2 linked regions of the Saccharomyces cerevisiae S288C genome follow. The protein of the gene in region 1 interacts with the protein of each later gene in a biochemical or structural test. Each region holds a gene or a part of one and is shown on either strand. Other genes may lie near its edges. The genes, in order: SNF5 and INO2.

Region 1 (13,270 bases):
ATAACATTTCCGCTCGCATTCCTCGAAGAGCATTATTTCCAAACTACTGTTGAAAAAAAAAAAATACGAAGACGACGCTTACCTGAGCACCCAGGATGTACACTTCGCCACAAATTTTGAGAGGCCTTTTGTTGTGATATTAGTTGAAATATATAACCACTTAATCAGGCAAAAAGACAGCAGTCACTATTTCAAGTTGGTAAAAAAATCCTGTTTTCGCTAATTGTCGATTTGGCCTTTCACCTGGACTTGAAAGCTTCAATTACGGCCTGATACATTCATTCTTTATACTGACCTTTGCCCAATTTATTATCCAGAACTATAGCCATTAGGTTGCAGGCCACTGGGACCACCACTGACTGGAAAATATTCTATTGACGAATTTTCCGCAACTCATCGCTGATTAGTTTATGAACTTATCCCGTCGGAATGAGAAAGTTACATATGCAGGAATTCTCTACAAGCAGCAATAACATGCTTTTATTTTACTGTCGTATTGTAATTGCTTATTCGGTTCCAAACATGTCAGCTATGCCAATATTTTAGAAGAGTGGGAAAAAAAAGAGATGTTATAGACGAACGACAAAAGTTGTGAAAAACTCGAATGGAGTAATGGAGCAAGAAACAAGAATCTGTCATAGTCAATACGTGATTTTGATATGCTTTCAAGCTTCTGAGAACTTCATTCATTACACTCCACCACATATACTATACAACGAATAGCCCAGTCGAAGAGGTTATGATTGTGTTCATTTATTTTTTTACATGACAGAGTCTCCCTATTGATACTAAGCTTGCTGCAATAACTCTTCTTACTAAGAGGTAACTTACATCTTGACTTTTTAATGAAGTTCCCAGCCGATTACCATTATACGTCGCCGTTTCGTTCATGTAAATATTCAAATATACTACACTTTATATCTTTGCTTCTTATATTTTCGCGCGTAGGTTTGCCTAATTACATTTTTATATTCCTCATCAATAAAGCCGCCAACAAAGAGCACAGGGTAGAAACTCTGCTGTCTGGGAACTCGGCTAACGCTTGTAAGCTATTTAATATTCTCAAATCATTTCAACACCTCTTTTTTTTTTTTCAAATATGTACTATTTTCTCTATTTCCATTAAGTTAGTCTTACTGAAGAGTCAAGAATATGGAAGAATTCCTGCGGAATTTTCAATTATTAGAAGTGAAAAAAAAAAAAAAGAAGAACAATGAAATTTAGTCTCACTTTAGCGTGATATATAAAACGTAAAATGTCGAAGCCAACGTAAAATTAAAAACATTTTGATGTCACAATGAAAGAACTCCAAAGTAGAGCTTGAATTATAAATTAGCATTTTACCGATGTCCAGTAAAGCTACCAAAAGTGACGTAGATCCATTGCACTCGTTTCTGGCAGGGTCCCTAGCCGGTGCTGCTGAAGCATGTATAACATATCCTTTTGAGTTTGCCAAAACAAGGCTGCAGCTGATTGATAAGGCCTCCAAGGCATCAAGAAATCCTCTGGTATTGATATATAAAACTGCAAAAACTCAGGGCATTGGTTCCATTTATGTCGGATGTCCCGCATTTATTATTGGAAACACCGCTAAGGCGGGTATTAGATTTCTTGGCTTTGATACCATTAAAGACATGCTAAGAGATAGTGAAACTGGAGAACTAAGTGGTACAAGAGGGGTGATAGCTGGGTTAGGTGCGGGACTATTAGAAAGTGTTGCCGCAGTGACTCCTTTTGAAGCAATCAAAACTGCTTTGATCGATGATAAACAATCTGCTACACCAAAATACCATAATAATGGGCGCGGTGTAGTACGAAACTATTCATCATTAGTCCGTGATAAAGGATTTTCTGGTCTTTATCGTGGTGTTTTGCCAGTTTCCATGAGACAGGCCGCAAACCAAGCCGTTAGATTGGGTTGTTACAATAAGATTAAGACCTTGATCCAAGATTATACGGATTCGCCAAAAGACAAACCTTTATCATCCGGGTTAACCTTCTTAGTGGGTGCATTTAGTGGTATTGTGACGGTCTATTCCACCATGCCCCTTGATACTGTGAAAACAAGAATGCAAAGTTTGGATTCCACCAAATACTCCTCTACAATGAATTGTTTTGCAACCATTTTCAAAGAAGAAGGGTTAAAGACGTTTTGGAAAGGTGCTACGCCTAGACTTGGGAGATTGGTCTTGAGTGGTGGTATTGTTTTCACTATCTATGAAAAGGTCTTAGTTATGCTAGCCTGAAATGTATTATTGTGTACAATATATCATCTAATGTTTTCTACTCGTTATAAGTCTATTTACCAGCCGATCACTTAAAAAAGTTATATATCTCTTTTTATCATAATGAAGAAGATGGCTTATGCTTGATTTTGACTTTGGTTGAGGTATTTCTTTTCCAATTTTTTGACTTGAATGTAGTCGTATATACTCTTCAGGGTGATAAATAGCCCAAGAAATGCCACAAAAACAGCCAACCATGGTATGTTTTGTTTTTCTTCATCCAGACCGTGATTCAAATGTGATTCAAATTTATCTTGTGTCGTTGATTGTGAATTTAGACGAACATCATCGAATTCATTTGGATCCTCTAATTCCATTCTATTTAAGCTTTTATTTTTGCCGACTTTTGAAGTAACATCATTGGGAATCATTGAATAACCATATCCAATGAACGTTAACCCTAATCCAAACCTTGAACCTTGCTTTGCTGCGTGAGATGTGTGTAAAATGTAGGTTATTAAAAATCCAATGAACTGAAAACTCGTGCTTACGATGATATTCCATAATAAATTTGCTATATTTCCTACAGGAAGCCCCTCAATGCATATTTCGTCGTAGTAGATATCTGAATTGTTCAAATCCATTCCATAATACGAGGGGGCCATATCAGCAGCAGCTTCGTCGTATGTAGGTGGTATGTCTTGTTCGTTATTACCTTCAGTCTCTGTGGTATCTGGTTTTGCGCTTAAATTGCTAAAGACACCATCAAACATGGCACCTTGTTGTATATCCGAAGACTGTTGTGTACGTTTCTTAAAAAGTCTATCAAGAATATTAAAATGTCTTCCTATTTTTCCTATATGTCTGGCTGCTTGTTCCCTCAGCTGGTGTGGTACTAGTCTTTCTGTCGTACTATTTCCTCCACTGCTGCTTCCCTCGTCCTCTATGCTATCTTCCTCGTCAGACCCTATTTCCGTTTCCCCTTCTACGCCAGTTTGTGTGTCTCTAGTTCGTCCTGCGTTTCCGACATTTATGCCATCAGTAGATGAACCTGCATGAAGTGTATTCATTTCTTGCCCTATAAGTAGTTCTTGCTCTGGCATAGCGCTTAGTTTCCTAGACTACGTGTTCTTGTTATTCTCATGCTCTTTTTATGTATCTAAATTGGAAGATTTTTATAAAGGTTATGTACTATTCTTCTAAAAAAAGTAGGCGCAAAGGGACTCCGCATCGTATAACACGATGATAATACAAATTCTTCCACGGTTATTTACATCTCCGGTATATTTTATATATGTGTATATATTTTCTATGTATTCTGTGTGTTATTGTTACTGCTACCATTATTGCTATTAGTCAACAATGTCGCTTCGCTATCATGTGGTGCTACTGGAGGTGCTATAGGAAGACTAGGTGTAGGTACCGATTTACTAGCTGCCCCACCTGGGATTACTGGCTGCAGTGTGGGATTGGGTGAATTAGTAACAGTGTGATTGGCAATCGGGTTTGGGATTGAAGGTATCGTCACACCAGCGCGAATGTTACTATTCAGCTTAGTTTTCAGCGATTCTGGACTCGGAAGCATTGCATTGGTGCCACTACTTGTGTCATTGGGCGCTGCTGCGAACTCTTCTTTTGTATTAACTTTCCCAGGCAGTTTAATAGAAAGTAGTAGCGAATGACCCGGAATATGGTCAATAATATAACAAGGAGGTGAAACTGGCTTAGGTCTATCTGGCCTGCTTTTATAAGTGGTTGTGTTTCTCAATTCGTACGATTCCACAGAAGGGCCTACGTCAACACCACCAGGCATTAAAGTGCTAGGTACTGGAGTCCTGAAAGTTCTTGGAATATCTGCAATATCTGGCAGTAAAATCTCTCCTGGTGGCAACGATGAAGCATTTCCTGCTGCTACTGTGTTGTGAACGCCGTTCATAGATGTATTACTTGCAGATGTGCCGGACAATGCGAGCATACCACGTCTATTAGATCTACCTTGTCTTCTTTTCCTTCTTGTGTCTCTGTCCTTATCTTTATCCAATCTCTCTAACTCTGCAGCTGAAATCTGTAATAGGTTTGGAGTAAAAATTTTGCTTTCCGCTGCAGGCCTATAAACATCATCAAGAGTAATCGTTGGGAGCATTCTGCTTCTAATGTCATCATCTTCTATCGCTGATCCATCAAAATTGTAACCTAACAGTGCCAGTGATTTATGATACATATGAACTTGCTCTCTTATGGAGTGAGCAATGGCAGTCACAAACTCACCTGGTAGTTCTAATTCTTGACACATGGACTCTGCAAACTCTTCTGGACAGTTATCACTATTAGAGATGTCCCACTCAAATTGATCGATTAACTGGTTTTGTCCCACGACAATATCCAGCTTGATTCTAATTCTCAAGTCATCACCGCCTAGACGGTCCTGATTCAACTCTATATATGGATTTCCTTGAAACTCCTGAATCTGCTCTTGTATAGATTGACAAATAGTATCAATGTGTTGCTCTCTCGTAGCGTCCTCAAATCGGTAATCTCGCAACATGTCGTCCACAAAGTCTTCAATTTTAATAAGCTTGTCATTTTTGTTCCATAACAAAGTGTCCCTGAGGAAGAATCTGTCACGATCTTGATCGAACTCCAATCTTATGGGAACTAACTGTTCCGATGTCTCATTCATGGCCTGTTTATAGACTTTTAATTTATCCTCTAGGTAATGCTTCCTATTTCCAACTTCTACTTGTGGAATAACTCTGGTAGTTGTATTCGTAATCCCATTACCATACCCTGAGTAACCATTTCCCCAAATACTTGCCGAAGGAATCTTCTGAGAAGTGCTTGTGATAGATTTCATTCTAGTGTTCTTCAAATCTTGATAATACTTCAGTGTATGCCACAGTCTACTAATATACTCTTTATTACTAAATCCATAAATGCTAAACGGATCGTAACCATTGGTTTCTCTTATTAGCGAATATTTGTTAATTTTATCACGCTGGATAATTTGTTCGTACAACAAAGTATCCGTATCTGCTTTTTTGTCTGACCAATAGGTTGGATATGGTAGCTTGGTTTCTGGTGGATCGTATTGAATAGTTTGGTACTTGGGTAAGTTTAATTTTGGAAGTTGAGGAAGTTGGCCAATAGTTGGCTGAACATTGGTGGGAGGTTGTCCACTCATGGATCTAACTTGAGGAACTTGCTGAGATTGCGGTATTTGTCCTTGCTGCTGCTGCTGCTGCTGCTGCTGTTGTTGTTGTTGTTGCTGTTGTTGTTGCTGCTGCTGTTGCTGTTGCTGTTGCTGCTGTTGCTGTTGTTGTTGTTGTTGTTGCTGATGCTGCTGCTGCTGTTGTTGTTGCTTTTGTTGCTGCTGTTGTATTTGCACATGATGCCTAAACTGTTGTTGCTGTTGTCGCTGTATTTGGTTTCTAAGTTGCTGCTGCTGTTGCTGCTGAACCAGCAATTGCCTCTGCTGTTCTAGCTGAGTTTGTGCCGTTTGCTGTCCCTTTTGCTGCTCAATTTGGCGTTGCACTTGTTGTTGTGCAACAGTAATTGCATTCACAACCTGTGGATTATTTTTTGCTATGGCCTGCTGCCTCAACTTGTTCAAAACTTGTTGCTGTGTAGCCAAAGGTAACTGAGCAATTTGTGGAGGCAAATTAATAGGCGCTGGAGCTAAGGGCACTTGACCAATTTGGGGATGTAAGTTGTGTGGTGCTGGAGGAGGAGGAGGGGTAGAAGTCGCTGATTGATTAGCAATGGGTTGAGATTGTTGCGGAGGAGGGGGTGGAGATTGATGCGTTTGCGGTGGCGGTGAAGTTTGTTGTTGTTGTTGTTGTTGTTGTTGTAGACGACTCCTCAGTAACTGTTGGTGTCGTTGCTGAATCATCTGCAATTGTTGTGGTGTGAGGCTCTGATACAGCTGTTGCGGAATTTGCGCCATGTTAAAAGATGGAGTTCCAATGTTGCTAAATATATTTCCAATACTATTTGGAACGCTGTTGGTACCCTGCGGCTGATTATTCATTGTTGCTTTTGTGTAGTTCTTTACTATATGTTCCCTTGATGATGCTTTGTTTTGGTGTTTATGTTTGAAATTTCAGTTTCTTTTAAATGCGACGAAAAATGAAATTTTTGGTCAAAGAACAAGAAGAGATTTATTTAAAGTTGGCGATAACAGGACTTGGGCAACAACAGAGGCTGTAAACCTTACCAACCCAACCAAAATAGATGTATTTGTCATTCTATATCACTGATACAAAGAACAAACTTATTTTCCAGTATCTTTTAGGTGCAACAGCTCCCTCCTTCAAGCACCTGTGGACCCGCGTTCAGTCCACATGTCCTCAATTGCTCGAAGATAGCAGTAGTGATGATTATTTAGACCATTCAATGGTTGGAAGAGATTTAGAGGTCTATAAGTATTTCTCAGTTATAAATAAGCTCAATTATTGGTGCTTAGCCTCCACTTCGAAGTCAAAAGGCCCGCTTGATTGTTTTACCTTTTTAGAGACTATAGATCGTATCCTGTTAGAATATTTTGACAAGGATAAATTAAGTATCAAGAAAATTGTTAATAATTATGATAGAATCAGTTTGATTTTTAACTGTTGCGTCGAAGCGGGTGAACCAAATGTGAGTGATATGCTCTATGTTAATAAAATTAAAGAAGCTGTTCCTGAAAGATCGGATTTATCGAAGTTCATAAGTTCTACAGCCCATAATTTACAGCAGGCTGTGCAACTCCCACAACAAAGGCAACAGCAGCTACAACAAAATCAGATTTCTCGTGGTAGTAATTCACTAATCGAAAATGAAGAGATTGTTCCCTGGAGAACTTCAAGGGCTAGCAAACATGAGAATAATGAGCTTTATGTGGATTTGTTAGAAACATTCCATGTTGTATTTGAAAAGAAAAAATCACATCTAAGGTTGCTCACTGGAAGTATCCATGGAATAGTGGACGTGAGATCTTATTTGAATGATAATCCTCTAGTTGCAGTAAAATTAAACACTATGGGAAATGATATAGGTATACCCAGTTTGCATGACTGTGTTGAAATCAATGATGGTGTGTTTTCTCCCTCTAATATAACGTTTATACCACCAGATGGGAAGTTCAGATTGCTGGAGTATTCCGTCGATTTAAGTTCTCAAGTAAAGCAATCCGGAGTAAGGATGAATTCTATTGGCTTGATGTCTTTACACTTCCAAAATGGATTGGGTAAAGATTCTGATGAATTTGAGTTATCCTTAAATATTGAAAATTTCAAAAAAGTTTCACAAGTTGATGACCTAAAAATAGATTTACAGTTCAATGTTGAGAATGCTGATCCAAATGAAATAGCATATAAGATAAAAATATTGCGCAATACTCATGGCCGTTTTGAAAATAGCATTATCATGGGTCAAGGACAATGGATTTTTGATAAATCAACTGCCACTGGAACGGTACCTGTACTACGTGGCTGTATTGAGTATGAAAATACTGGGCCAAATTTTACAAAAAAAGTTGATTTACAAACAGTCTCCTTAGAATATTCTTACATAGGACAATCGGCCAGTGGAATCTATGTAGAAGCCATCGATATTGTATCTGGATTAACAATTGGCAAAAATACAAAGCTGTACAAGGGTGCAAAGTATAAGACCCAGACAGGCAATTTTCAAGTAAGGCTGTAGTTATATGTGTACTTGAAATTCCATGCGAAACTAAATAGAATATAATGAGAATATAAGTCTTGGAATAAAAAAGGAATATAAAACTATGCTAAAAAAAAAAAAAAATGAATAAGACTTTCATTCATGAAGACTCTATACAAAGGAATGAAAAGTTGTATTAAGTTGGGTTAGCCCACTGTAAAACGTAAATTGCACCTGAGACAACAATAATACTTACAGGCAAACTTAAGACAGCGTACCCCCAAAATAGAATATCGGCCATTTCTGCCTCGAAAAATTCATTCAGTTGAGTGATTTGAGTTAATTGAATGGCAGGAGGGGAAACAGTCAAAAGAAAACCGACAACAAGGAAAATTGGATCGTCCAAAATACTCACGTTTATGTACTTAACAGCAATAGCAATAATAGGCAAAAGGAAGCAAGAAGGTAAAATCATTCTTCCGATGATGGAGCCGATCAATAACTTGCTATGGTGAACCGTCTTAGGGAAGACTTCCGCAGAAGGATATAAGTTAGAACCGAGGACAACCAGGATCAGTGGGATAGAAACTGAACCCAGCTGCGTAACAGCCTCGGCAAATGTGTTATTGATAAACCCATCTTCCATAAATAGCTCTCTCTGCAACGGACCAATTGCTGCCACAACAACAGCAAAAATCATGGAATATAACGGAGGATTAAGGTTCGCTCTGATTCTCTCAAATACAGTGCATGATTTTTGCCAAATCTTATCACCGATGGAACTCGAACTCAAAAAAGATGAGTTCATTCTGTTATTTTCTTCTTCAAGCAATTCTTGTTCCTCTTGTTCCTCATTGACAAGTTCCTCGTTATCAATGTTGGGCGTCCTTTCCAACAAAGATTGCACTTGAGAAGGTGGCATATGCTGAGTGTTCTCTCCAGACCACTTCATTAGCTTATTGTAACCCCAGCTCCACCTCAGCATTTGTCCGATTTGTTGAAAGATCAGCAAGTATAAAATACCCCTTGATGCAACGTTATCTCTGTTATCATTAGGAATTTGGTCCCAAGTTAAGTTGGGCAGAGTGTAAGCCAAAGATAATGTCAAGGACACAGGTAGAGAGTTACTGTTACCAAAGACAGAGTTTGCCACCACAAAATTAGTTTCATCTTTATCCAAGTCTAGGATACGGCTCATTATCTTTCCGGAAATAAATGAAATACCAGTAGTCAAACCAAAAAAAATAGGAATGATGGCTATTTCAAAGATTTTGGCCATGGACAGGGATTTGGCCAACTTACTAAAAATAAGACATGGTGTAAAAAGGTCCACGTTCAACAGAGAAATGATTTTTTGACTTTGTTTGGGCAGCAGACCAGAACTAGCGCTCCAAAAACCAGCGAGTGCGATAATGACTACCTGTAAAACGGACTCAAAGACCAAATAAGCCAAATGAGCAAAACTAAATGTTTCAACCATATAGTAGAAATGCAGAGTAATCTATGAGGGTATGGTTAGTTGGGAATAACAAACCAAAAACGGGCTTCACACATATTGTTCAATTTACAATAATTTCCTGTTTAAACTTTTATATCACAATTTCAGTTTTTTTTTCTACCTTTTTTTCACTTTGATAAGGAGGCTGTGATCCCCTTGATGCACGTGCAGTTAAAAAAAAGAGGGTTTTTATTTTCTTTTAGATAATTATACAGAAATACTTGATGTGAACAGTACACTTAAATAATCAAGAAGTCGGCCCTGTACTTAAATTGTGGTTGTTGAGCATTCAATATGTCCACCTCTTTGTGCTTTTGGGTTTCTCTTTTTGGGAAACCCTCGAAAGAGTCAGCATAGGTGGCCACAGAGTGAGCAATCAACTTGGTGTTGGTAATGAATGCGTCCCAGGATAAGTTAGAGACATCATCACATAATTGATGGTAGCATCTGTCTAAGACCTTTCCGTTGTTGACGTTATTCTTTTCGGCACCAGTGGCAATACCACCGGCTGGAATTCCGTTGTTGATAAACCCGACATAATCGGATCTACCGTCAAATGGGACCAAAGTGTAGTTCAAGTGATGAGCCTTGTAGTAGTCTACGTACAGGTTTTTCAACTCTTCAGACCCCTTAGGGTTCTCCTTGTTGTTCGCATCATAAATTTCGTATTCATAGTTTGGAGAAGCCATCATGTCATAGTCCATAAATACTCTGATCTTGGAGTTTTCTTCTTTGGTCAAGTTATAAGCGTAGAAGTTAGAGCCTAGCAAACCTTCTTCTTCAGCAGCCCACCATGCAAAACGGACCTTGTTATTGATCTTGAAATGGGTCAATTGCTTAGCGACGTTCAATAGGGAAATAGTACCGGAACCATCGTCGTTGATACCTGGGCCCTCCTCAACAGAGTCTGAATGAGCACCAAGGGCAACAATATTATCAGGATCACCGTGTTTTGTGTCGGCAATGATGTTCTGGGTCTTGATAAATTCTACATAAGAGTCCATGGCAAAATATAATGAATAATCGATGTTCAATGCAATATTGGCAATCAATTTTTTACCAACTTTATATGGAACACCGACGGTGGCGACAGTGTGCTTGGTAGGTTCGCCTAATGTACCGTGTAGTCCTTCTTTAGATTTAGGTTCGTTGTCGTAAATGACCACAGCGGTGAAACCGAACTTACCGGCCAAATTACTCTTATCGCCAAAAGGACACTTACCTCTTTCGATAAGGGCAATTTGCTTTTCGTTGTGTCTTGGTGGGACTACAGAGGCGTAATCCTTCTCTTCACATCCCAAGTTAGGAATTTCGACTAGCTTACCTACGAACCCGTCCACAGGTGGAGAAAGTGCGAAAGCTGTAGTGTTAGCAAAGCTTTTACCGGTTTCGGCGTCAGAGAGGTTGAAAGAGATGATCTTACCGGATAAAGCTTCGAACTCTTGCAAAGAAACATCATAGTAGTCCTGCATGTCATCGAAAACATTCAATATGTATTCCATAGTCTTGTTATGACCCTTGGACCCGATCACACGGGTAGGGTGACCGTAGTCAGGAGTAGAATAGTTAGCTAAACGGTAGAGGTCCCAAGCAGTAGCATTCAAATCGTCAACTTTGATTTTATCTTGCAATTTTTCACTTTCTACATGTGGTTTCATGAAGTAAGGAATATGTGGCTTCGGAATGTTGGCAGCAACGGCAGAGCTATCATCGTCGTTTAATTGCGGAAGATAATTCTCAATTGGCTCTTCTTGTTGAAAGGCTTCCTGGAAGAATTGAGGAATGACATAGGCAGAGCCTAAATTGGTAGCGTAAAACGCAGCGACAGCCAATTGCTTCAAAGAAAAGTGCATGGTTGGCGTTTCTGTTTTTTTTTTTTTTTTGGCTTCTTCTACCAATTGTTGAAAGGCTGAACATGGTTTTGTTCCCATCCATTGTTCCTCGCTTTTATATTGAAAAAAGAAAAATTTTCCTAAGGACCCCTTCTTCCTGAGGGTTAATTTAAGGGAATTCAAAGTGTGTCAATAGTAATTAATAGAACTAATCAATATATTCAGTATAACTTTTATTATTAATAGTATATGATATTACTTTTTGAACTATATATTTATGGAAGCACAAAAACATAGAGAACACTCTTTCTGACGATAAGAAAGGTGATTATATCAAGATATATAATGAAGCAGCTCAATTGTCTTATTTCTTGTATCTCAAGTAGCTCCTTCTAGTGCTACACTTTAGTATTCTGCTTTGTTTATCATCGAACCTATCAAATTCCACGGAATCCTCTGGTGAATATGTGTTCTGGTGCCGTGTTGAGTTATCGTTATCCAATTTGTGTTCATTGGCGACAAGGCCCTTTTTCAGCTCATTCAAATCTATGCAATGATTATTAACGCCTTTCTTATCAATGGCAACCTTACCCAAATTGTTTCTGTTTCTAGTCAGGATTGTAGCCATTTCTCTATCTGAAATGTCCGCCTCCATGCTATCGTCAGTGGGGCTTTCTAAGGATTTTATGTTTATGAAACCATTGTTTTCATTGCAATAGATTATTTCAATGGGGGAAGGCTCTTGCTTTTTAAAGGAGAATAGACTATCAAAATATGAGAACCTAGAAAATATGGTCATTGTCAACTATAAGCGAGCTTAGAGATTTCGAATTGTTATGTTATAAATGGAGTGATAAGACTCTTGTTTGAGGCTTGGGCTTTTTGATTTATATTAAATTAAGATATGTAAAAAAAAAAATAAATTAAAAAACGTGTGTTCTATTTACAGTATCTACTTACTTATTTGTTTATATATTCCATTAGTTTACTTATCTTTATCCTTAACCTTTTTTTTTTGTGTGTGTGGGGAAGGGCGGTACATAATATTAGCGTCACAATATGCGCCCCTCGAAGAAACATGAGCGAATTCACGCAATTATGAGTCGCCACTCCCCTGCGAGAGTGCTACTGCGATATTGACGTCTGATGATCGGAACGTTATGCTCTAAACTTGTATTTGGTTTACAATCATACCACTTGTCTACAAACCCAGTGTTTTCCACGAAGTAGTCATGGCTGGCTAAGGAAACGCCGAGCCATTTGTTCTTTAGGGTACTTGAAAATCCACTGGTTATGACACTGTTTCTTAGAAGTTCGCATAAATCTGCTGAATGTAAACGGTATATACTAGCCGCTACACTATACTCTTCTATAATGGGTTCTTTCGTATACGAATTGTTGTAGAGGATAGATTCTGAGCTCAGCGATATCTTGAACCCCATTTCAAAAAACTTCATGAAAGGGTTCTTCTTATAAGGCTTTGAGGGCTCTAGGACAAGCCCCGTCGGGGCTTGTTCTTGCAGCATTGTAGGCTTTGAATCTACTATGGAATTCAAAGGCGCCACAACCATGGGAATTTGACTTAGATAGAAAAGATACACCAGTGATGGTGGTGCATTCCAGAGATTTTCTGCATTTAGAAACCCTCCACAGGCGAGCAAGAAATTGTTTAAAATAGCTTCCGTATGTTCTGTGAAGTTCAGTGTATTACTAAACTGTGAAGTTCGATTCATTGAGGTGGGAGAACATGAACTTCTCAAAGTGAAGGTATTTTGATGAAGGGCTTGGCGGATATGGTTCAATTTTGTTAGGTTGACGTAGACGTAATACATATATTGTGAAATGGTTGGATTATCACCGCCAGATGTCCAATCTTTTGGCAAGCAACTAACTGCTGTGAAGTTTTTCCAAATATAGTTGTCCGTATCTTGAATACATAGATCAATCGAAGATACTTGAGAAAGAAATTTCAAAAGAATAGGTCCTAATGACTTGTGTAGATAATTTTCGGCATTGAAAAGTGGTTTGAAGATTAGATTTAAATACTCCTGAAAATTCTTCACCTTGCCAGT
Region 2 (12,933 bases), on another chromosome or scaffold:
ATGATGGGAAAAAGTCCACAGCAGCAGCAGCAGCAGAACACACCGCTAATGCCCCCGGCGGATATCAAATACGCCAATAATGGTAACTCACATCAAGCAGAGCAAAAGGAGAGACAAGTAGAACTTGAAGGTAAATCGAGAGAGAATGCACCAAAGCCAAATACTACCAGCCAGAGTCGAGTTTCGTCTTCTCAGGGCATGCCTAAGCAGTTTCATCGAAAATCGTTAGGAGATTGGGAGTTTGTTGAAACAGTTGGTGCAGGTTCTATGGGTAAAGTGAAGCTGGCAAAACATCGTTACACTAATGAGGTTTGTGCAGTAAAAATTGTAAACCGTGCTACAAAGGCTTTCCTACATAAAGAACAAATGCTGCCACCACCCAAAAATGAACAAGATGTTTTGGAGAGACAGAAGAAATTAGAGAAGGAAATATCTAGGGACAAAAGAACTATTCGAGAAGCGTCCTTGGGACAAATCTTATATCATCCACACATATGTAGACTTTTTGAGATGTGCACGTTGTCAAATCATTTCTATATGTTGTTTGAATATGTTTCAGGTGGTCAGCTGTTAGACTATATCATCCAACATGGGTCAATACGAGAACACCAAGCGAGAAAGTTTGCTAGGGGTATCGCGAGCGCCTTAATATATTTGCATGCTAACAACATCGTCCATAGAGATTTGAAGATAGAAAATATAATGATTTCAGATTCCAGTGAAATCAAGATAATTGATTTTGGACTTTCAAATATTTATGATTCTAGGAAGCAGCTTCATACATTCTGTGGCTCTCTGTATTTTGCCGCTCCCGAGCTGTTAAAAGCGAATCCTTATACAGGACCTGAAGTAGATGTCTGGTCATTTGGTGTAGTTTTATTTGTTTTGGTATGCGGTAAAGTGCCATTTGACGACGAAAATTCGAGCGTTTTACATGAAAAGATCAAGCAAGGTAAGGTTGAATATCCCCAACATTTATCTATCGAAGTAATATCACTGTTATCCAAAATGTTGGTAGTAGATCCGAAAAGAAGAGCCACACTTAAACAGGTTGTGGAGCACCACTGGATGGTAAGAGGGTTCAATGGTCCCCCTCCTTCTTACTTACCGAAAAGAGTTCCCCTAACTATCGAAATGCTTGATATAAATGTCTTAAAAGAAATGTACCGTTTAGAATTTATTGACGATGTAGAGGAAACAAGAAGTGTTTTGGTCAGTATAATCACAGATCCTACTTACGTTCTTCTCTCTAGACAATACTGGACTTTAGCGGCCAAAATGAACGCAGAATCCAGTGATAACGGAAACGCGCCAAACATAACAGAGAGTTTTGAAGACCCAACTCGGGCATATCATCCAATGATTTCCATATATTACTTGACTTCTGAGATGCTTGATAGGAAACATGCGAAAATTCGGAATCAACAACAGCGACAGAGCCACGAAAATATAGAAAAGCTTTCTGAAATACCGGAAAGTGTGAAGCAAAGGGACGTAGAGGTCAATACAACCGCTATGAAATCAGAGCCAGAAGCCACGTTGGCGACAAAAGATACCTCTGTGCCATTCACTCCAAAGAATAGCGATGGCACAGAGCCCCCCTTACATGTCTTAATTCCACCGAGGTTAGCAATGCCAGAACAAGCGCATACGTCACCAACGAGTAGAAAAAGTTCTGATAATCAACGCCGTGAAATGGAATATGCTCTCTCTCCAACTCCTCAGGGAAATGACTATCAACAATTTAGGGTACCTTCAACTACTGGCGATCCCTCAGAAAAGGCGAAGTTTGGGAATATATTTAGAAAATTATCACAGCGCCGTAAAAAGACCATTGAACAGACATCTGTTAATAGTAATAATAGTATCAATAAACCTGTGCAAAAGACGCATTCTCGCGCTGTTTCAGACTTTGTCCCTGGTTTTGCTAAACCGAGTTATGATTCAAATTATACCATGAATGAGCCTGTCAAGACAAACGATAGCAGAGGTGGCAATAAAGGTGACTTTCCAGCATTGCCTGCGGATGCAGAAAATATGGTAGAGAAGCAAAGGGAGAAGCAAATTGAAGAAGATATAATGAAATTGCATGATATTAATAAACAGAATAATGAAGTTGCAAAAGGAAGCGGGCGGGAAGCTTACGCTGCACAGAAGTTTGAAGGAAGCGACGACGACGAGAATCATCCCTTACCACCTCTCAATGTTGCAAAAGGTCGAAAACTACATCCAAGCGCAAGAGCTAAATCAGTTGGTCATGCTCGTCGTGAATCACTCAAATATATGAGACCCCCAATGCCTTCATCTGCCTATCCTCAGCAAGAGCTTATAGATACTGGGTTCTTAGAATCAAGTGACGATAACAAATCCGATAGTTTGGGAAATGTTACTTCACAGACGAATGATAGCGTCAGCGTGCATTCTGTGAACGCACACATAAACTCGCCATCTGTGGAGAAGGAATTAACAGATGAAGAGATATTGCAGGAAGCTTCTAGAGCTCCAGCCGGTTCTATGCCATCCATCGATTTCCCCCGTTCTTTATTTTTGAAGGGTTTCTTTTCTGTTCAGACAACTTCATCGAAGCCTTTGCCAATTGTTAGATACAAGATTATGTTTGTTCTGAGGAAAATGAATATAGAGTTCAAGGAGGTTAAGGGTGGTTTTGTTTGTATGCAAAGGTTCTCTTCCAATAATGTGGCAGCGAAGAGAGAAGGGACTCCAAGATCGATCATGCCACTTTCGCACCACGAATCCATTAGACGTCAAGGCTCTAATAAATACTCACCTTCTTCTCCTTTGACAACTAATTCCATTCACCAGAGAAAAACATCTATTACCGAAACCTATGGAGATGATAAGCATTCGGGAACATCTTTGGAGAACATCCACCAACAAGGTGACGGTAGCGAAGGCATGACTACAACAGAAAAAGAGCCCATCAAATTCGAAATTCATATCGTCAAGGTTCGTATTGTTGGTTTAGCCGGTGTGCATTTTAAGAAAATTTCTGGGAACACTTGGTTGTATAAAGAGCTGGCTTCTAGTATATTAAAAGAACTAAAGTTGTAAGTAACACGTTCCCTGAGAAACCACAGCTTACATTTTTGATATTCGAAAACAAGAATATCCGTTCGATAGAAATTTATATATATATATAGATTCTTTTTATTCTCTTTTGGAAAGAAGAAATAGAATGGACCTAAGCAGACACTCAGCAGTTAATATTTTCGTCCCTTAATTGGTATTATTTATAAATAAATGGCACGTACTTTATGTGTAAAGCAGTTCATCATCGATTGATGGAGAGAATTTGTATACGTAGAGCGATCATTGCACCGTTTACCAGGACAGGATTCATATGGATGTAATAGGACTATTACTTCACTGAATCAATACAACTCGTAACGGTCATATAACTGCGAGTTTGTACGCAGTTATTCTGTTTGTGAAGACAGATTATACTTCGCCGTTGAAAGATTTCTTTACTTCACCATCATTGCCTCCGGATTCTCTTAACTTCTAAATAAAATGAAGATACTGGTAATTCTTGTCCGCAAAAATCTACGCTACACTCTGGAAAGAAACGAGATTTTCTACCGTCTGGTTTATAATGAATATATTTACATGACCAGCTTTGCAATCATATGATATTTTCGCCCATGTATACGAAATTAACTAAAAATACATCCAACGGGAGGCCATTTTCATCACTAATAGCTTGTATGAGCTCAGGAATCATCCAGTATGTGCTGTAGTGCTTCATTTGCGCTTCTAATGGACTTGATATCGTTCATTACACAAGTTAAAAGAATATGCTTGGGAATTCTTTTCCCGTTTTCCTTCGGTGGGGTCCTTACTGATTTAATGAGCCTTTCAAAGGCTTCTTTGGTGTTTATTCTTCGTATCTTCTCCATTTGAACGTGTTTCCATTTCCGTACCTTCACAGGGTCGTCCTCGATATTGGCTGGAATATCAGAGTCTGGGATTCGTATCTCAGGTACTGAAAACGGTGGCGGGTTGTAGTGGTCATTGCCGATAGGCTGATGAGGTCCTTCCCTCGTGGTGAACTCAGTTGGCACATCTGCTGTGTTTGTGGGTAACTCCCCTGTGTTACTGTGTGGATGTGTTTCAGGATATCTTTGATTTAATTCGGTATACCTATGCTGCTTTTTTGGTGATCTTATATGTAGATGTGATTCGGAGTTCATGGAAGCGTTGGAAGACATCATATCCTGTGATATTAGATTGTCTAAAAACTGTTCAATGGCATTCGATTCATTCGTGCTCAACAACCCCGAACTGGAAGGAGACAACTTGAGACCAAGCGCTTGATCAAAACCCATGCTTGGTTGATGAGGGTTGTGATTTAGATAGTGTGCATGAGTATGCAAAGGAGCATGATGAGTTTGGTTATCGGCAGGTATAGTTTCTACGTGAGAGGGTTGCACGGTTGCTACGTTAGGAATTATGCCGAGCTCGTGTGTTAACAGAGGAGGGGAAGTTGCACTAAACGTGTTTTCATGTATGTGCGCAGACATTTGGTCGTCGAAGTTACTGCTGAGCATTTGGTAAGCAGTTTCAAAGTCTATATCGTTATCCAGATCTAGGATACCCAGTAATTCGTTCCCAGTTGCTTGTTGCATTTTCTCCTTTGCTGTTCCATGTATTTATTTATTGCACGTCAACGAGATGGAACCGAACCAATTTCGAATTGCTTATGACGCCAAATACTGATTACAATAAGATATGATGAGATGAGCCTTTAATCACTGAAAAAAATTCACATGTGTGTTGTACTTGGACAGGTGTCAACGCCCTGCCGATGACGGAGGGAGATAGAAAACCGGCGAATTTTTTACCTCCTGCTGAAAAAAGGTTAGGTTGGTTCCATCTGCCGCACTATGGAGGGTGATTCAACGGAAAAGGCGCAGGAAGTGCAGTAGTGACCGGCAAGCAGCATGTTGAAAGACATTGTTGGGAAATCCTGTTTGAGTCCTGGTGTGTCTTCATTCTCCTACCATTTGTAGCTGGCGTAGATTTGGTTTGAGTGTGGTTGGTTAATTCATATTAAGCGTTGAGATTATAATAATAGAAATAATGGAAGAGGCACTCGATCCATATTATCAAGGATTCAAAGTAACTCAGATCTGCAGTAAAGGAGAGATGCGACTGAGAACAAATTCCTTTGCAATGGCATCGGCAATGGCACAATATGGAACTTTTTCTTGTACTGTTGAAAAACAGCACGCTGCAGTTGCATCAGGGTTGTTTTAAGTTGTTGTAGTAATCTCGCGACCTGAGACATCCTTGAAGCGGTGCCTGCGAAGTCTTAGTGAAGAGTTTAAGATTAGAAGTATATAGCATCGAAGGGATGGCCCAACTGAAGCAGGTTCCTCTGCTTGTTTCTCAGCTTATATAAAGGATGGATTGCGTATGTATACATGTGCATTTGTGCGTACGTCATTTTTCGATAGAGTCAGCTTAAGTACATGCGTATAGGTATGGAAGAGCTTAGAAGGGCGCTGGCGCTGCTAAATGGTCAAGGATATGAGTTTATGGTGTTCATAAAGGAAAAAGACCATTTAATAAGTGAGTCAATTCCAAAAAACTTGTTCTCAGAGAGTTTTATATCATCTTCAATTGAAAAAAACCCTCCACTCACGTTCGATCCATTGGTAAATAGGAAAAGAATAACTGTTTATGAAGAAAATATCCAACCAGCGATCATGCTACCCTTAGATCAACCCCTACTAATACAGAATTATCTGTATACGGCTTTTAAATTATTAAGACAGGTCCCATGCAAGGCGATTGCTAAGTTGTGGATAAAAATTATTGAGCCAAGGAAGAAAACCAGGTTTCCATACATTAAAGGCAATGCTGGAAGGCCGGAATGGTGGCCAAAAGATGTAGAACATAAAGAGCCGGACCACCTCCAGAAAGCGGATCGACTGAAATTGATGTGCACGATAATTATGAATGTTCTACCGCAATCTCCCTTCAGCCTTGAGATTTTGGACGAGCTTACAGGAGTGACCGCCGCAATGACCATTTTTAAGAAAGAAACTGTGAAGAAAGTAATCATGAAAAATGTTTTCGAAATTGCGAAATGCTTGTGCAACAAAGATTTCAAGCAGAAGACCATATCACTTGATGATTTAAATGACCTAGCCCAAAAACAGAAAAAATCATACCATAGTCGTCGATTTGATGTAAATAAAATGGTTAAGGTAGAAAAAGATTTGTTACAACAGTCAAGTGGAAGCGATTCTTCACCCTCGATGATCCTTCCTTCAAAAGAAAGTGACACAGAGTATTTCCCCAGGGAATATCCGAAAGACCCTGTATCGGAGGATTATTCGAATAGCATATCTCGATTAGAAAATTTAGTGGAATTTGATCCGTTATTCCTCACTAAATTGGATGAATTAACTAGTAGCGATGATTGTAAAGATTTTATTTGAGAAAAATTTCAAAGCAAAGAAAAGAGGTGTGAGGAGCGCAAAAGCAAAAAGGGGGATAGCATACATTAACACATTTTTTGGCTCTTTGCTACTTGATTTGGTTGCTATCAAGGCGATTTAGTTTCGTCTGATAAGAAGGACACTATAGATTGGTTGAATGATTCTGGGTTATCTAAAAAAAGATTGTGACCGGAAGAAGGTATTTCTAAATAACTTGCTCCTTCTAGACAGTTCTTTAAATTGTTCAACTCTTTGACCATGAACATACCGGCTTTTTTATTCATCCAATCATATTGCCCATATACTATCAATAATTTCTTAACATTTAAATATTGCAGAGAATCCATCAAGGGGTCCTTTGCTAGGATACATCTTGAAAATAACGCTTTGAAAATATCTGTCGTAACCTCCGGTATACCTCCCTTACCGTAAAACAGTTCAAATATGTACTCTTTGTATGCCAACGATGGGACTCGGCTATATGCCGCCATTATGTAATTCCAACATAACTTAGCTCCTAATGGTCCCATCATTCTCAAAATGTGAAATTGTTGTTCAAATAAGTATTTTGGAATCATATTTCTTTTGGAGTAAAACTTGGAATTTGGATTTTTAAAATCGATAGTATAAAGAGTGTTGGAGTGGAAATTATTATTTACAGACCAGATATTCCTTTCCACTCCTAGTGGGGATACCAAGCAAAGTTTGTTTACCGAGTTTGGATATTTAACAGCATATTTAAAAGATAAATATCCGCCAAAAGAATGCCCCACAACATTCATTTTGCCCAATTTGTTATCAATGCGCCATTGCTCGATTCTGTCGAGATAGAAATCTTCGTACATTTGAATCACAAATTTATTGTGATTTGCATTTATTGTATATGGAACCTTAAATTTATTTTCTCCAATAAATTTGATATCTAACGGCAGAGGTGTTGTTGTATTGATCTCTAAAGACGGTACTGAAGACAATCCGCTCGCTGGCATGTCAATTGAGTATAAATTTCGGATGTGCTTGGACAGACCTGGATAATTTCTGAAAAAAGACATTGAAGATGCGGCATAGCCATGTATCAGCAATGTTGGTGTTCGAACAGTACTTGTGTTTTCATTTTGGAAATGCCATTGATTTATTTCGTTGAATAACTTATCATTCTTTTTAATACCTTCAACGTGTACCTCTTCCATAATACGTCTCTGTAATTCCTCCAGCCGCATATAAGTTTTGTGTGGGTTATTCAAATGGCTTGACCATAGCTTGAATCCAGATTTTTTGACAGCATTTTCCTCCTTGGGTCTAAGAATCCTTTCCAAAATTTTTCTCTGGAGACTCTTTTCACGACGTTTAACTTCCAGTAGGCTTCTATTACTGTGGAACGCTCTCTTCCACATGTAACATTTATATACATTCATTATCTGCCTCCTTAAACTTTCAGGGTCCATCAAGTACCTCTTTATTAAAAGCATTTTTCATTCGCTCATCCTTAAACTGGAAAGGCATAAGGAAACTGTCAGAATATATAAATAGAGGTGTAAAACATGTGAAGCTCTGTGGAGTTCTAAGCTGGAATCGAAACAGTTGTCTCAATTTTAGTAATGTCCAAGGGCTTTCCAGGAGGTCAGTATATTCAAAGCCAAAATAATTAATGTTTTGGTCTGAATTTTTATTTTTCAAAAATGAGGTGAAAACCTCCAACGAAACTTTTTAATTAAAACCATCCGATACAGAATTTTAAATCATCTAAAGCATTTATTCGGCATTTTATCCTTGAATAACGTACTATGCAACTCATATAAATACTACAATATACTTTCTCTTTAGGAAATTCGTAGCTATCAACAAAGGTAGTGTCATTGTATATATACTTCCGCCTTCCTAAAAAAAACTTCATTATGCCTCCAAAGAAGATATCTTTGTCTCCTAACATGAAAAGAACAAACAATGTCATGGAATCTACTATTTGTGCTGCTAATAGGATTCGTAGTTTTGATATTACTTTCGCCCGTCTTCAAGTCAACATGGCCATTTTCGACTTTCTATCGTAATGTGTTTCAGCCCTTCCTAGTGGATGACCAAAAATATCGTTGGAAGTTGCATTTAGTACCTCTTTTCTACACCTCTATTTACCTGTACCTAGTATATACATACCACATGAGAGTGGAGTCTACGATTAAGAATGAGCTATTCCTTTTAGAACGAATACTGATCGTGCCTATAATTATACTACCGCCGGTAGCATTAGGAATTCTAGCCATGGTAAGCAGAGCTGAGGATTCAAAGGATCATAAATCAGGCTCGACAGAGGAATATCCATATGATTACCTATTGTATTATCCTGCCATAAAGTGTTCGACATGCCGGATCGTCAAGCCTGCTAGATCCAAACATTGTAGCATTTGCAACCGATGCGTTCTCGTCGCCGACCATCATTGCATCTGGATAAATAACTGCATCGGAAAGGGAAACTACCTTCAATTCTACCTTTTCCTAATTTCCAACATATTCTCGATGTGCTACGCCTTTCTAAGGCTGTGGTACATTTCTTTAAATAGCACAAGTACGCTCCCTAGAGCTGTTCTGACTCTTACCATATTATGTGGATGCTTCACTATCATCTGCGCTATTTTCACGTATCTTCAATTGGCCATTGTAAAGGAGGGAATGACTACAAATGAGCAAGATAAATGGTATACCATTCAAGAGTATATGAGAGAAGGAAAACTGGTGAGATCATTGGATGATGATTGCCCATCTTGGTTTTTCAAATGCACAGAACAAAAAGATGACGCTGCTGAACCACTCCAAGATCAACATGTTACGTTTTATAGCACGAATGCCTACGACCATAAGCACTACAACCTTACACACTACATCACGATTAAAGACGCGTCCGAAATTCCCAATATATATGACAAAGGTACCTTCCTGGCCAATCTCACAGATTTAATATAGTAAATTGTCATGCATATGACTCATCCCGAACATGAAATTTTTTTTCACTCGGTTTTTTCTCACCGCCATAGATTCTAACCGCAAATGTCGAACAAATTCATTATACAAGCGGTTTATTAATATAGAAGGTAGGACGCCGACTCGTAACCATTAGTAACAGATCACAGCTATACTCGGTCGTTCAAGTTTATATAATCTCCTAGTTGAGAAATCCCTACGTAAGATAATTGTATATTACGATGGTGCAGTTAGCCAAAGTCCCAATTCTAGGAAATGATATTATCCACGTTGGGTATAACATTCATGACCATTTGGTTGAAACCATAATTAAACATTGTCCTTCTTCGACATACGTTATTTGCAATGATACGAACTTGAGTAAAGTTCCATACTACCAGCAATTAGTCCTGGAATTCAAGGCTTCTTTGCCAGAAGGCTCTCGTTTACTTACTTATGTTGTTAAACCAGGTGAGACAAGTAAAAGTAGAGAAACCAAAGCGCAGCTAGAAGATTATCTTTTAGTGGAAGGATGTACTCGTGATACGGTTATGGTAGCGATCGGTGGTGGTGTTATTGGTGACATGATTGGGTTCGTTGCATCTACATTTATGAGAGGTGTTCGTGTTGTCCAAGTACCAACATCCTTATTGGCAATGGTCGATTCCTCCATTGGTGGTAAAACTGCTATTGACACTCCTCTAGGTAAAAACTTTATTGGTGCATTTTGGCAACCAAAATTTGTCCTTGTAGATATTAAATGGCTAGAAACGTTAGCCAAGAGAGAGTTTATCAATGGGATGGCAGAAGTTATCAAGACTGCTTGTATTTGGAACGCTGACGAATTTACTAGATTAGAATCAAACGCTTCGTTGTTCTTAAATGTTGTTAATGGGGCAAAAAATGTCAAGGTTACCAATCAATTGACAAACGAGATTGACGAGATATCGAATACAGATATTGAAGCTATGTTGGATCATACATATAAGTTAGTTCTTGAGAGTATTAAGGTCAAAGCGGAAGTTGTCTCTTCGGATGAACGTGAATCCAGTCTAAGAAACCTTTTGAACTTCGGACATTCTATTGGTCATGCTTATGAAGCTATACTAACCCCACAAGCATTACATGGTGAATGTGTGTCCATTGGTATGGTTAAAGAGGCGGAATTATCCCGTTATTTCGGTATTCTCTCCCCTACCCAAGTTGCACGTCTATCCAAGATTTTGGTTGCCTACGGGTTGCCTGTTTCGCCTGATGAGAAATGGTTTAAAGAGCTAACCTTACATAAGAAAACACCATTGGATATCTTATTGAAGAAAATGAGTATTGACAAGAAAAACGAGGGTTCCAAAAAGAAGGTGGTCATTTTAGAAAGTATTGGTAAGTGCTATGGTGACTCCGCTCAATTTGTTAGCGATGAAGACCTGAGATTTATTCTAACAGATGAAACCCTCGTTTACCCCTTCAAGGACATCCCTGCTGATCAACAGAAAGTTGTTATCCCCCCTGGTTCTAAGTCCATCTCCAATCGTGCTTTAATTCTTGCTGCCCTCGGTGAAGGTCAATGTAAAATCAAGAACTTATTACATTCTGATGATACTAAACATATGTTAACCGCTGTTCATGAATTGAAAGGTGCTACGATATCATGGGAAGATAATGGTGAGACGGTAGTGGTGGAAGGACATGGTGGTTCCACATTGTCAGCTTGTGCTGACCCCTTATATCTAGGTAATGCAGGTACTGCATCTAGATTTTTGACTTCCTTGGCTGCCTTGGTCAATTCTACTTCAAGCCAAAAGTATATCGTTTTAACTGGTAACGCAAGAATGCAACAAAGACCAATTGCTCCTTTGGTCGATTCTTTGCGTGCTAATGGTACTAAAATTGAGTACTTGAATAATGAAGGTTCCCTGCCAATCAAAGTTTATACTGATTCGGTATTCAAAGGTGGTAGAATTGAATTAGCTGCTACAGTTTCTTCTCAGTACGTATCCTCTATCTTGATGTGTGCCCCATACGCTGAAGAACCTGTAACTTTGGCTCTTGTTGGTGGTAAGCCAATCTCTAAATTGTACGTCGATATGACAATAAAAATGATGGAAAAATTCGGTATCAATGTTGAAACTTCTACTACAGAACCTTACACTTATTATATTCCAAAGGGACATTATATTAACCCATCAGAATACGTCATTGAAAGTGATGCCTCAAGTGCTACATACCCATTGGCCTTCGCCGCAATGACTGGTACTACCGTAACGGTTCCAAACATTGGTTTTGAGTCGTTACAAGGTGATGCCAGATTTGCAAGAGATGTCTTGAAACCTATGGGTTGTAAAATAACTCAAACGGCAACTTCAACTACTGTTTCGGGTCCTCCTGTAGGTACTTTAAAGCCATTAAAACATGTTGATATGGAGCCAATGACTGATGCGTTCTTAACTGCATGTGTTGTTGCCGCTATTTCGCACGACAGTGATCCAAATTCTGCAAATACAACCACCATTGAAGGTATTGCAAACCAGCGTGTCAAAGAGTGTAACAGAATTTTGGCCATGGCTACAGAGCTCGCCAAATTTGGCGTCAAAACTACAGAATTACCAGATGGTATTCAAGTCCATGGTTTAAACTCGATAAAAGATTTGAAGGTTCCTTCCGACTCTTCTGGACCTGTCGGTGTATGCACATATGATGATCATCGTGTGGCCATGAGTTTCTCGCTTCTTGCAGGAATGGTAAATTCTCAAAATGAACGTGACGAAGTTGCTAATCCTGTAAGAATACTTGAAAGACATTGTACTGGTAAAACCTGGCCTGGCTGGTGGGATGTGTTACATTCCGAACTAGGTGCCAAATTAGATGGTGCAGAACCTTTAGAGTGCACATCCAAAAAGAACTCAAAGAAAAGCGTTGTCATTATTGGCATGAGAGCAGCTGGCAAAACTACTATAAGTAAATGGTGCGCATCCGCTCTGGGTTACAAATTAGTTGACCTAGACGAGCTGTTTGAGCAACAGCATAACAATCAAAGTGTTAAACAATTTGTTGTGGAGAACGGTTGGGAGAAGTTCCGTGAGGAAGAAACAAGAATTTTCAAGGAAGTTATTCAAAATTACGGCGATGATGGATATGTTTTCTCAACAGGTGGCGGTATTGTTGAAAGCGCTGAGTCTAGAAAAGCCTTAAAAGATTTTGCCTCATCAGGTGGATACGTTTTACACTTACATAGGGATATTGAGGAGACAATTGTCTTTTTACAAAGTGATCCTTCAAGACCTGCCTATGTGGAAGAAATTCGTGAAGTTTGGAACAGAAGGGAGGGGTGGTATAAAGAATGCTCAAATTTCTCTTTCTTTGCTCCTCATTGCTCCGCAGAAGCTGAGTTCCAAGCTCTAAGAAGATCGTTTAGTAAGTACATTGCAACCATTACAGGTGTCAGAGAAATAGAAATTCCAAGCGGAAGATCTGCCTTTGTGTGTTTAACCTTTGATGACTTAACTGAACAAACTGA

What was found.
Region 2: the proteins of SNF5 (region 1) and INO2 form a complex in vitro, tested with the Saccharomyces cerevisiae proteins (2 studies listed by BioGRID).

Annotation. Positions count from the first base shown.
Region 1 is NC_001134.8:772,649-785,918, reverse strand, and holds SNF5 (Snf5p), read right to left. Parts: upstream 6,253-13,270; coding exon 3,535-6,252; downstream 1-3,534. Other genes in the region: YBR292C (uncharacterized protein), read left to right, coding at 846-1,217; CTP1 (Ctp1p), read left to right, coding at 1,347-2,246; BSD2 (Bsd2p), read right to left, coding at 2,363-3,328; APM3 (Apm3p), read left to right, coding at 6,456-7,907; YBR287W (uncharacterized protein), read right to left, coding at 8,065-9,348; APE3 (aminopeptidase Y), read right to left, coding at 9,606-11,219; HAB1 (Hab1p), read right to left, coding at 11,563-11,997; YBR284W (metallo-dependent hydrolase superfamily protein), read right to left, coding at 12,287-13,270. UniProt on the Saccharomyces cerevisiae protein: Involved in transcriptional activation. Component of the SWI/SNF complex, an ATP-dependent chromatin-remodeling complex, which is required for the positive and negative regulation of gene expression of a large number of genes.
Region 2 is NC_001136.10:694,823-707,755, forward strand, and holds INO2 (Ino2p), read right to left. Parts: upstream 4,647-12,933; coding exon 3,732-4,646; downstream 1-3,731. Other genes in the region: serine/threonine protein kinase KIN1, read left to right, coding at 1-3,072; YDR124W (uncharacterized protein), read left to right, coding at 5,493-6,467; ECM18 (alpha/beta hydrolase family protein), read right to left, coding at 6,575-7,936; palmitoyltransferase SWF1, read left to right, coding at 8,412-9,422; ARO1 (pentafunctional protein ARO1p), read left to right, coding at 9,662-12,933. UniProt on the Saccharomyces cerevisiae protein: Positive regulatory factor required for depression of the coregulated phospholipid biosynthetic enzymes. Also involved in the expression of ITR1.